3 linked regions of the Lonchura striata genome follow. The protein of the gene in region 3 binds, or shares a complex with, the protein of the main gene of each other region. Links are inferred from orthologs where the notes say so. Each region holds a gene or a part of one and is shown on either strand. Other genes may lie near its edges.

What was found.
Region 1: LIN9 (region 3) and TFDP2 share a complex: the UniProt entries of both Homo sapiens proteins name them as parts of the DREAM complex. The link is inferred for Lonchura striata from reciprocal best matches to the Homo sapiens genes LIN9 and TFDP2.
Region 2: LIN9 (region 3) and LIN54 share a complex: the UniProt entries of both Homo sapiens proteins name them as parts of the DREAM complex. The link is inferred for Lonchura striata from reciprocal best matches to the Homo sapiens genes LIN9 and LIN54.

Annotation. Positions count from the first base shown.
Region 1 is NC_134612.1:12,734,742-12,738,489, forward strand, and holds the start of TFDP2 (transcription factor Dp-2), read right to left. Parts: upstream 2,190-3,748; 5' UTR 2,014-2,189; intron 1-2,013. UniProt on the Homo sapiens protein: Can stimulate E2F-dependent transcription.
Region 2 is NC_134606.1:60,955,281-60,959,028, forward strand, and holds the start of LIN54 (protein lin-54 homolog), read right to left. Parts: upstream 2,557-3,748; 5' UTR 2,472-2,556; coding exon 2,438-2,471; intron 1,784-2,437; coding exon 1,056-1,783; intron 1-1,055. UniProt on the Homo sapiens protein: Component of the DREAM complex, a multiprotein complex that can both act as a transcription activator or repressor depending on the context. In G0 phase, the complex binds to more than 800 promoters and is required for repression of E2F target genes.
Region 3 is NC_134605.1:17,660,822-17,664,569, reverse strand, and holds the start of LIN9 (protein lin-9 homolog), read left to right. Parts: upstream 1-1,526; coding exon 1,527-1,605; intron 1,606-3,748. UniProt on the Homo sapiens protein: Acts as a tumor suppressor. Inhibits DNA synthesis. Its ability to inhibit oncogenic transformation is mediated through its association with RB1. Plays a role in the expression of genes required for the G1/S transition.

The sequences.
Region 1 (3,748 bases), on a different chromosome or scaffold from region 3:
CACTAAACCTGTAACAATTTTAGCCAAAGCTACTGAAAGATCCTCACTGGGAGGGTGCTCACAACTACTCAGGAAGTGTGTCCAGATGCACCAGAGGTCTCTACAGTGCTGTCCAACATGGACAAGAGTAGACAGAGGTAAGGAATTCTCTTGTGTTACTGACATCTCCTGCAGAACAGCACTGCTGCTGCCCAGCTGGGCTGCTTGGCCTGTGCGTTTTACACGGGAGAGCTGCTGCCAAGATGCTGTTCTGAAAACTGTACCTTCCCACTTTGTAAAGGCCACCAGTCAGAACCCTCTGCAGCAATCAAAGCATTCCTTTTACTGGTGTGTTTTCCATAAAATTAATTCTATTAAGATAGTACAAGTCAAATGGTTTCTTTTTGCTTTGCTGCAGTACTGATTTTTGTTCAAAGAGGAAGTGGTTAAAAGCCAAACAATTTGACAGTAATATAAGATCACTCTTAAATTTACCCATGAGGCAATCTTATTAATATTTAATAATTTTCTTTTTTTTCCCCCTAGGATAGAAGTAAATAATTTGACCTGTTACTCTGTCCTCTTCTAAAGGCACTAGACTCACTTCACAGTAAGAAACTTTTCAAAAGAAAACTTGACTTTTTTTTCCTTTTGACCACCTCTCCCACCAAGACTTTTCTATAACACAAATTTCTTCTTAGTCCTCCATGGTTTTTTCAAAGTGCTATATTTAACACCCTACACGTTAGTTTGAACAGAAGTTCCTGAAATTCAATACTTCACAGAGTAAAAAACACCAGTGAGTACACACAGCATTGGCATACATATGGGCTGTGAAACACAGTTCTGCATTTGCCCTGTAACATTGGTCCTCTCAGTCTTTGCCACACTTATAAAGATCCCTTTTTGTGTATTTTTTGTGTATGTATAATCAAAAGAACTGAAGTTAATTTGGGAAGGGTAAAGGAATAGAGAAAATGGAATTTATTTCTTTTTTAACAGCATCCATTTTTACCAGCATGTTATTTTTGAATCAAAGATTGTACCAAGTTGCAATTTGTTACAGCACCACACAACCTCCAACATTTTACTATCTTTTGTCAACATAATTAAGCTACATCAGTGATAGTAGTTGAAAAAAAAGTCACTGTGAGCCATATTAATGAAGAGTCAAAAAAATAATTGAACTGCTTTCAGAATTATGAAAACCGACCAAGAAATAATTTGTAAAAAATGTTTACCCAGCATACTACAGTATATCAATTAAAACTATTCATTTTCTCTGTCAAATCAAGAATTTACAGAGAAATTACAGAGAAAATGAAACCCAAAGTTTCATTTCATTTCAACCCTTTCTTCAGAGGAGAAACCTTTACTCAGTGAGAGAGAACGCTCTCATTTGCGGTTTTCTTCCACATTTCAAGGAAGTTTGCTTATTCCGTATTTTCCTCCTATTGTTTGTATTCTCAGCTCCAACAGACGGTGTTTACACTGGGTTCACCTCTGCCGCTGAGCCCTGTACCGCTGGAAGCCCGGGCAGGCCTGTAACTCCCAGGAAGAGGCAGGCAGGGAAGTTTTGTTGTTGTTGTGCCGGACTGACCCTCTCCCGGTAGGACCCGCGGGTGAGAACCGCCCCGACAAGAAGTCCGGGCGGCACGGAGCAGGGCCGGGAGCTCGGCCGGAGCCTCGCCGCTCCGGGCCGGGCCGCCGCTCGCCCCGCAGCCCGCACAGCCCCGCGCGGCCCGGCCCCGCCGCGCTCCCCACAATGGAGGAGGCGCCCCGGCTGTCACCGCCGCCCGGGCCCGCCCGCAGGTGTCGGGCCCCGGCTCCCACGCTGCCGGGGCGCCCGCCCGGCCTGAGGCACCGGGGGGACGCGGCGGGGGAGACCGCGCTGCCCGGGGCACCGGGGAGGGGGCGGCAGGGCCGGCGGGACCGCGCTGCCCGGGGCACGGGGGGCGGCGGCCGCTGATGGCTGAGGAAAGGGGCTGTCCTTCCCCCCACAGCCCCCCACACCCGCCCCCGCCCCCCGCTCACCCGCAGGACCGGCCAGGGACGAAAGGTAAGGCGGGCGGCAGCGCGGGCTGGGCCCAGACAGCAACGCTGAGGCGACGAGACGGCGACGGTCCCTTGGCAGCCGCCGCGGCAAGGAGCGATCGAGTCGCGCCGACGACGCCTCTCGGCCGGGCCGGCGCCGCGCACTCGCCGCTGGCGAGGAGGCCCCGGAGCCGGGACCCTCGGCGGCCCCGGTGCGTGGCGGCGGCAGCGCCCGCAGCGCCCCCGGCCCGGCCCGGCCCCGCCGCCCCCCCGCGCCCGCCCCGCGCCCAGCGCTGCCCGGTCCTGCTCCCCCGCACAAGCTTGGCGGCGTCTGCCGGCCGGGAGCGCCCATTGGCCGCCGCGCCGCGTGACGTCAGGCGCCCTCCCCGCGTCATTGGCCCGAACCCGTGTGTGTACACACACCGCCCGCCAATCCGCGGGAGCGGGGCCGGGGGGGCGGGGCGGAAGGGCGTGGCCGGCCGGGACCGACCGGGACCCGCGGCCGCCGCCTCTCCCCCGCGGCGCGCGCCGGCCGCTGTCAGGGCGCGGGTTCGATCCCCGCGACGGCTCCGGGCGGCCGCACCTGTCCCAGCGGCGCCCAGGTGCTGCGGGCGGTACGGAGCGTATAAATACACAAACCCATACATATTTATAGGCCTGTATTTACACACAGCGCGCGGCGCCGCGCTGGCTGCGGCCGCCGGCCGTGCCGCTTATCTGCGAGGAGCCGGTGGGGCTGCGTCCCGGGATGCAAAGTTCAGCCCCGCCGCGGGCGCCGCAGGAACGTCCGGCCTCGGCGCGGAGCCGGCGGCACACGGAGGCCAGGGCCGGTGCACCGTGCCCAGCCCCGCGCTCCCCCTGCGAACAAAGGCTCCCGGGCCCACAAAGCGCCGGCGGGGCCCGGAGCAGCGACCGCGCCCTCGCACCTCCGCCCTGCGAGACCCGGGACCCGCTCCCGCAAAAACCCGGACCCAGCTCGGCGCCTTGGAAAAGCCTTAAGTGCTTGATTTCAACATCCTTAACGCTGTAAAAAAACTGTTTCAACGAAGCAGGGTTACATATTCTTACAGAGACCATATAAATAGAAAGCACTCCTGGGAGCAAAAAAAATAAATTCGGCACTAGTTCCATTCAGCACAACGATGCAACATTTGTTAAGTCTTTCTCGAGTGCAGCCAGGCACACATCCAAGGCGTGCAGTTACCCATTTTGCATATTTCTCTAACACAAACGCAGCTTAATGCCACTGAGCAAGCTGAGCAGAACAAGGTTTATGGGGACACAAACACTATTATGTGCTTTAGATTCCTGCAAAACATACATGGTAAGCTTCTGTTTTTCTTGCATTACAAACATTAAATACTCTAGAAAGACATATTTTTGATCCTGTACCCTTCACTAAAAAGGGAAGTAACACCAAAAAACCAAGTGTTCAGCCTATAAAGTGGAGTTCCTAAATATCAGTCTAAGGAATATTAGCAATATTAGCAAACAAGACCTTTATATTTATTTCAATGGGGCAGTTTACAACCGAAAATCTTGCATGTGCCTAGGAATTTGCAGATTGTGGTTTTAGTTTATTTTCATCCTGTAAAAAACACTTCCATAACATGTAACAAAAACTTTTATCAATATTGTCAGTGTTATGCAAGATACATTCACAAAAGCAATAGAATTGGAGTCCCCTCTAACAGGTACGACCACAACCACTAATATGACACACGCCCTGACAGAA
Region 2 (3,748 bases), on a different chromosome or scaffold from region 3:
ATCCACTCTTAAATGTTCCTATGATGACTAAAGTGCAGAGACTTTCTTGAAAACTATACTGACAACCATCTATGTTTCAAATGGCCATTACTAAATGTTTCCAGATATGATGTAGCAACAAAAAAGGAGAATGAAATTAGTGCAGTAGAAATCATCTGCAACTTTAGAGAAAATATTGATCTTATTCACCTGCCATGAAATACTAATCAAGGAACATTTGGCTAATAAAATTCTTTAAACTTTGTCATTTTTATGTGCAGCTGATTATTTTTAATAGCATACTTAAGAGTTTAATTTCACATTTCATTTAGGCAGTAAAATAAATATTTTCCCATCATAATCTGCATTGAGTTCTAATTGTCTTTCACTTTAAGAAGTCTCATTTCTGCCTCACTACCAATAGAACAAAGTCACTCACATTTAGTTCTGCCACATAACAGATGAGAATCAGACTCTTTGAGTCATAACCCAAGTCTTTTCAACACATTTTCAGATCCAAGCAGATTCTCTGTGGTTTCAAATATCTCAAGATCCATGCCAGAGATTAGGAACCAAACCTTGAATGTTCAGCTTATGATAACTAGATTTGAAGCAGACCAGATACACCCTTCTGTTTTTTTACAGATGCTAGAAGTTTTTTCAGAGAGTTTATTTAAACAAACTGAACGTAATAGGCAGAAGGTACTCTTCCATAAAGGAGGGTATACTTTGAGTAAACAACAACAGGCATATAAAGTTGAATTCAGTCTTCCTGAGAGTATGTAGAATTTATTTTTATAAATGAAAATAATGATAAAATTATCTTCAATTTACTGAATAGTTCACTTTCTCTGAGGCAAACCCTAAGTTTCTAGACAGTAGCTAGAGGCAAACAGCATAAAATGGCAAACGCATCAACAGATGAAAGCATGGGCTAAGAGCAGCATTGTATTTTTTAATACAAAGAACAAATGCAAAGGCTGAAAGCAACAGTGTGTCAATCAGTGCAGGAAACAGACAACAATTGCAGCAACAGAACTGGTTTTAGGAAGTTTCATCAGCATAACTCATTTTACCTGTACTGTTTTTACTTGCTGGGACTGCAAGACAGAGGGCTGGGCCGCAGTGTTTATCAGCTGACTTCCCTGCGTCAAAGCTGAGACACCCACAACAGGTTTCACTTCCGACCGACCTCCAATGACAACTTTGATCTGCTGGCCTTGTACCTTGGACTCTCCACCCTGGGCTTGGGACACGGCCTTCTGCGACTGCGGGAGCTGGCTGTGGGGTAGTGCTAAAACAATGGGCTGGCCAGACTTGCCCAAAGTTGTTACAATCAGCTTTTGCCCATCTGGTTTAATACTCTGACTGCCTATTTTAATATCAGTGGCCTTGTTCAGAATAATCTGATTAGCTGAGATAGTGACAGGGGTCTGAGCACCAAGTTTATGGAGGCCACCTGGGAAGGCAGGCTTTACAGCTGCATTCACATCAGGGCTTGGGGCTGTGGTGGTCAGTGCTGTATCTCCTGAGTGGCTGCTGGGCACAGGGACCGATTCCGTGGTGACTGTGGCTGTAGTCGTGGCTGAGGAGTCGCTGGTGGAGTTTATGTTCACTATTTCTTCCAGTTCTGTTTCCATGGGAATAGACTCTCCCATTGGCGAAGACACAATAACAGCCTCAATGCTGTCATCTTCCACCAGAGTTATGCCAGTGTCCATGATTTCCTCAGGGAGCAAGCTGTTCACTTCTGCTGAAACCACCTCCATCTTAGTAGCTGTGGCAGTGATGGCCGGAGCAGGTACTGCAATATTTTAAAAAGTTATTGGCTTCCAGAAAACACATATTTTCAAAGCTTTATGAATAAAATTACCAAAGAAGAAAATACAGTCAATTTTTTTCAGACTGAAAGTATTGTGCATGCACAGGAGGGATATCATGGGAAAAAAAACTGTTAACAAAATATAACCTACTAGGCTGAATTGAGTCTTGGTAATAATTTATATCAAACCTTTACAACATCATTTGCTGAAGTAAAATAAAGGCATTACCACTCCACTCTTTACACCACAGTACACCAAGAAGCAGTGCTTCCCCCCTGAAAATATAGGCACAGACATTTAAACCCACTGAAATATAAAGCAAGAGATAAACAGCTTTTAAAAAATCAAATAGATGATGATGTTTTCTTATACATGCCAACACTGATTAGCAGGTTATCTTACTCAAGAGATTTATTATCCATACCAGATGTAGCATTATCACCAAATTTTCATTTTGGAAATCTCTGATAAAATCAAATGACTATTTAGTGATGGACTTGAACAACCCCAAAAGCTCAATCAACAGCCACCTACCACAGGATCAATCCAAAGCCCTGCCACTCACAAGATGAAGAGATAATCCCTTGATGCCAGCTATGAAAAGAGCTCAGTAATTTTTTTACTTCAATACTCACCAGAAAATTTATAACACACAAATTCATTATTCATTTTAAAGGTGTTCTAAAAACAAAACAAATAACACACTGTATGAAAAAAAAGGGATTTTTTTTTAAGATCACCCAAATTATATATTAAACAAACACCTGCAGCGAGATTCAAAGCCAGAGCCACTTCCACTTGAGAAAACCTAAAGACATTGCTGGAAATGGTGGAACTGTACCATTCCCTTAAGGTTGTATCAGTGTCAAGAGTCTGAAAACAGATCAGCTTAATAAGGCATTTTCTGCACTTGCTGACCCCATGAGCACACTTGGGCCCGGGACGGGTGAGCACACCATGTGGGTCTGCCTACATGCTCCTGAGTACTAATTATAAGCTCAAGGGGACAAAACCCTTGCAAATTCTGTTTCCTACTTGCTAGGAAAAGCAGAGCTGAGTTTTAATACTAATTCATGAGGAACCATGCCAGTGAAGACACCAACCAAATGCCCAAGTGACATTATTTCCTCTGGAGTCATTGTGGGCCCGTTTTGTACAGCAGCTAACTACCAAACAGCTGCATTTCACCCACAAGGTGGAAGGATTGGGGAAAAAAGCCCTGCTAGAATTACACAGTTTCCACACCGAGCTCCAGAGACTATGCTGGAACAGTCCTGGCCTCCCTGATTGCCAAGGGTGCCACTCTGACCCCCCTCACCTCAGAGTGCCAGCCAGACCAAACTGCCCTGACACTCAAGAAGCCTGAGCTCCAAAAGGACTGCACTGACAGTCAAACTCCCAGCTCCCTTATTGGCAGGCATTTAAAGATACAAAGTTATCTGATGTCACTGCCAAAAATACCTCCTATGGAAAGCATTTCTCCCCCAGTAATGCCTGCACAGTGATGCCAGCCCTGGTAAGCAGCCCTAGACAAAACAGCCAGCTCCAAGAGACACATTAGTAGTACTATCATATTGCTGCCTTAAAGTCAAATAGGTTAACTGCATAGATGATTACTCCAAAGTAGACTGTTTTTGAATACAGCATACGTTAAGGTCACTAGGCCTTCTTCTGAGCTGTGTCACTTGACTGTCACCTCAGCTACTTGAAAAGGCTTGCAGCTCAGATAGCAAAACTTCAAACTATTTCAGACACAAAAAAAATAAACCTCAAACCAAAGCATCATCTCGTTCTATACTGATATGCCCATAGGCCTTGGATCCAGAAGTTAGACTCCTAGTGTCAAGCACAATCCATGTAATAATTGCCTCCAAGTTTGAAAAGGAGAGAATAATCTAAATTGGACAGGGGGAAACCCACCTCACTCTGTAATTATAAATAGTTTT
Region 3 (3,748 bases):
CCCTGTCAACCTGCTAGAGTGCCTAGTCATCTGAGTTCATTAGCAAATTAAGAACACAAACTCTATTCCATGTCACAAGATAGACATTTTCTGTATTGTGTAGAATCTTTGGTTTCACCTAGGTGCTTTCAAAGACCTGCATACAATGAGGCATAGCATCCATTTTGTATTATACCACTGTGCTCTTGGCAATATGTTTAACATGTGACACAGATTTAGCCTTTACTAAGATATACTGTTTATTTATTTTGAGGCTCAATTTGCATTTTTACATTTATTTTTATACCTTAAAAAAAGGAATTTTGGTTGGTATAATAGTGTTATCAAAGCCAAACTATGTGGAGAGTGTGGTCCATGAGCAATTAAGGTGCTTGTGGTTCATGATGGTATTTCCATGCTTATATTTATTGATACTTTAGAATTCACTGTAGTGCAGAGATCTGAGAAAACTACACCAAAAAAACCCACTGCTGCTGCTTGAAGAAAGCTTTCAGGGGTGTGATGGTAGAGGGCAGGCCAAGACAAGGAGCTTGTTAGGCAACAGCCACCCACTTCTGTGGTTTGTTGGCTTTCCCTGGCACCGGGTGAGAACAAGTGAGACCTTGACCTTCAGGCCTTGGGCTCGGTGAGCATTTCAGCCGCCTCTTGGGCGAGGTGCCACAGGCTGTGACAGCAGGGCCAGGGCTGGCTGGGCCGGGATTGTTGTGATCCCGGACTCCTGGAGCCTCACCTCAGCAGTCACTTATGAAAAGCAACAAGGAAAACTGGCAGAGTTTAGCAAAAAGTTATTACTCAGTGAAGGAGGATGGGTATAATGTAATGGGATTGTTTAAAGACTCAAAGCTAGCACAGCTACTTCGGGGTGATCCTTTGTGACAGCCAACACCTCCACCCCTTTCCTCCCATCCTGAACTGCCAATCACACATTCCCCCCCATCCCGCATCGTAAGAATCGACAGGGAACTGCTGCAGCAAATTTAGAGAAGCATGGTGGTGATAAGAGGACTGGAGCACCTACCCTATGACAACAGGATGAGAAAGCTGGGGCTCTTCAGGCGTGGAGAAGTTTGTGTGAAGACCTCATGGCGACCTTCCAGTATCTGAAGGAAGCCAGACAGGGACTGTCAGGAGCTGCAGTAGCGACAGGACCATGAGTAATGGGTACCAACTGAAAGAGGGGAAAATTAGGTATTAGGAAAAAAGTCTTTCCAGTGAGGTACTGGAACAGGTTACCCAGAGCAGCTCTGGCTAGCCCAGCCCTGGAGGCGTTCAAAGCCAGTTCGGATGGGGCTCTGAGCAACCTGGTCTAGTGGGAGCCGGTGGCAGGGAGCTGGAACTCGACTGGAAGTAGTGTGAGGTCCGCTCCGAGTCCTTAGCGGGCCCCGGGCCGGCGGCGCTCCCTCCCGCGCTGCCGAGCCGCGGCTGCCGGGAGCGGCGCGCGGGCCCCGCCGCCCGGCCCCGCGCGGGCGCAGGCCCCGCCCCGCGCGCGCGCCCGCCGCGCGCCCGGCCCCGTCTCCTCCCCCAGAATGCCCCGCGCCAGGCAGCCTTTGAAAAAGCGGCGCGGCTCGTTCAAGATGGCGGAGCTGGATCAGCTGCCTGACGAGAGTGAGTAGGGACCGGCGCCCCCGCTCCCGCCGCCCCCTCGTCCCGGCGGGACACCCGCGCCGCGCCCCGCCGCCCGCCCGCCTCCCTTCTTCGCTCCCTCCCTCCCGCCGCGGGCGCTGTGCGGGGCCGGAGCCCGAGCCTCCTCCCTGGCAACCGGGCCGGGCCGGCCCCCCCCCCCCCGCCGCCGCCCCTCCCGGGCGCGGTCCCGGCCCGAGCGGCGGGCGGGGAGCTCCGTGCCGAGGGTGCGACCCCCGCTGCCCTCGGGGGTGCCGGGGCCGGGCCCCCGCCCCGCCCGGGCGGCACCTGCCGGGCAGGCGGGGCGGGAAGCGGGAGCCGGGCGGGGCGCAGTGACAGCCCGCCCTGCCCGCGGGGGTCGGGGCAGTGCGGGGGAAGCAGCGTCCTGTCCCGGGGGAGCGTGAGCTGCCCGGCGCTCCGGACCTGGCTGTCGCCCATGGGGGCAGGAAGGGCTCGTGTATTCGTAGCCCGTGCCGCGCACGGTGCGAGCAGCTCCGCAGGGCTGGGGGTCAGGGCGTGCACACACTGTGTCTAGGGGGCACTGGTGAATGCGCAGGGAACAGCTCAGAGACCTTGTGTTGTGTGTCAGCAGCAGGAACCTGGCTGTACAGGAAGACAGAATGTAAACATGTGTTTTCGTGCCTACAGTTCTGTATGTCTGCACCTCGAGTGCTGTGTCCAGCTCGGGGCCCCTCACTGCTAGAAGGACACGGAGGTGCTGGAGAGAGTCCAGAGAAGGGGAGTGGAGCCTGGGGAAGGGTCTGGAGCATGAGTCTGATGAGGAGCAGCTGAGAGAGCTGTGGGTGTTTAGCCTGGAGAACAGGAGGCTCAGGAGTGACCTTACCACACTCTACAGTTCCTGAAAGGAGAGTGTAGCTGGATGGGGATTGGCCTCTTGTCCCAGGCAACAAACGAGAGGGCATAATCTCAAGCTTCAGCAGAGGAAGTTTAGATTGAACATTAGGAGGAATTTCTTCAGTGAAAGGGTGATTGGACATTGGAATGGGCTGCCCAGGGAGGTGGTGGAGTCACTGTCCCTGGAGGTGTTTAAGGAAAGACTGGATGTGGCATTTTGTGCAGTGGTATAGTTGACATGATGGTGTTTGGTTAAAAGCTGGACTCCATGGTCTCAGAGGTCTTTTTTAACCTCATTGATTCTGTGATCTCCATAGGGTTTGTGTGGATGTTGTTTTCAAAGAGTGCAAGGATTTAATAAAAACATAGTGTAGCTAAAAACCAGATATATGTTGCTGTATGTGTGGATTCATGCACAAAGTACTTGAGTGTTACAGAAAAGGAAATTATTCCATATAAAATGCATCTAGATGACATCTCTTACAAACTGTGGACTGCCAAGCTAAAACTAGGGCATTTACTAGTTTCAATAGGTGTGCACAGAACAGGGCAGACATCTTCTGGTGACACCACACAAGTTCATCAAGCTACCAAGTCCTTCCACATCCAAAGATTCTCAGAGAGAAGTGACTCAGAGTGGAAATCTTGCTTCTGGCTGCTCCATGCGAGTCTTTGTTACAGCTCCAACAACTGTCAGGAAAAAAATTGGTTAATGTGCCCACATGGCCGGTGTCATTGTGTTAACTGAACAGATTTATGGAGGATCATCATAAATTATGGACAGAGCTGACATTCTCAACTTAGCGCAGCTCAGTCATGGATGCTGTGCTCCATTTAGAGACTGATTAATACAAGTCATGGGCCACTTGATACGACTGTAATTAATAATTAGCTGTGGTTTATTGCTTATTAAATGAACTTTCCCTGTTCACTAGAATGGGCAATGTTTAAGTTACCGTTCCTCCATTTGCCTTGCCCATTTTCCAGAGAAAGCATGATATGTTTCAAGAAGTCAGTGTAATGATGAAAAATAACTTTTTCTTCTCTGTCATTTTTATATTGCCTGCAGTGGCATCAGGAAGGTTTGACAGATCTGTCACTTCACCTGTAGCAGATACCATAGTAGAGTGTGTGACTCCGTTTCCCTTAGGATTGGGCGATGCTGGCAACCCTTGCCAGCTGTGTCAGTGTTACAGGCTCTGCTTGGCAGGTGAAGCAGACACTGTGTGGTTATTTGTAAAGGCAGTAAACTTCTGCTGTGCTGACTTTGACC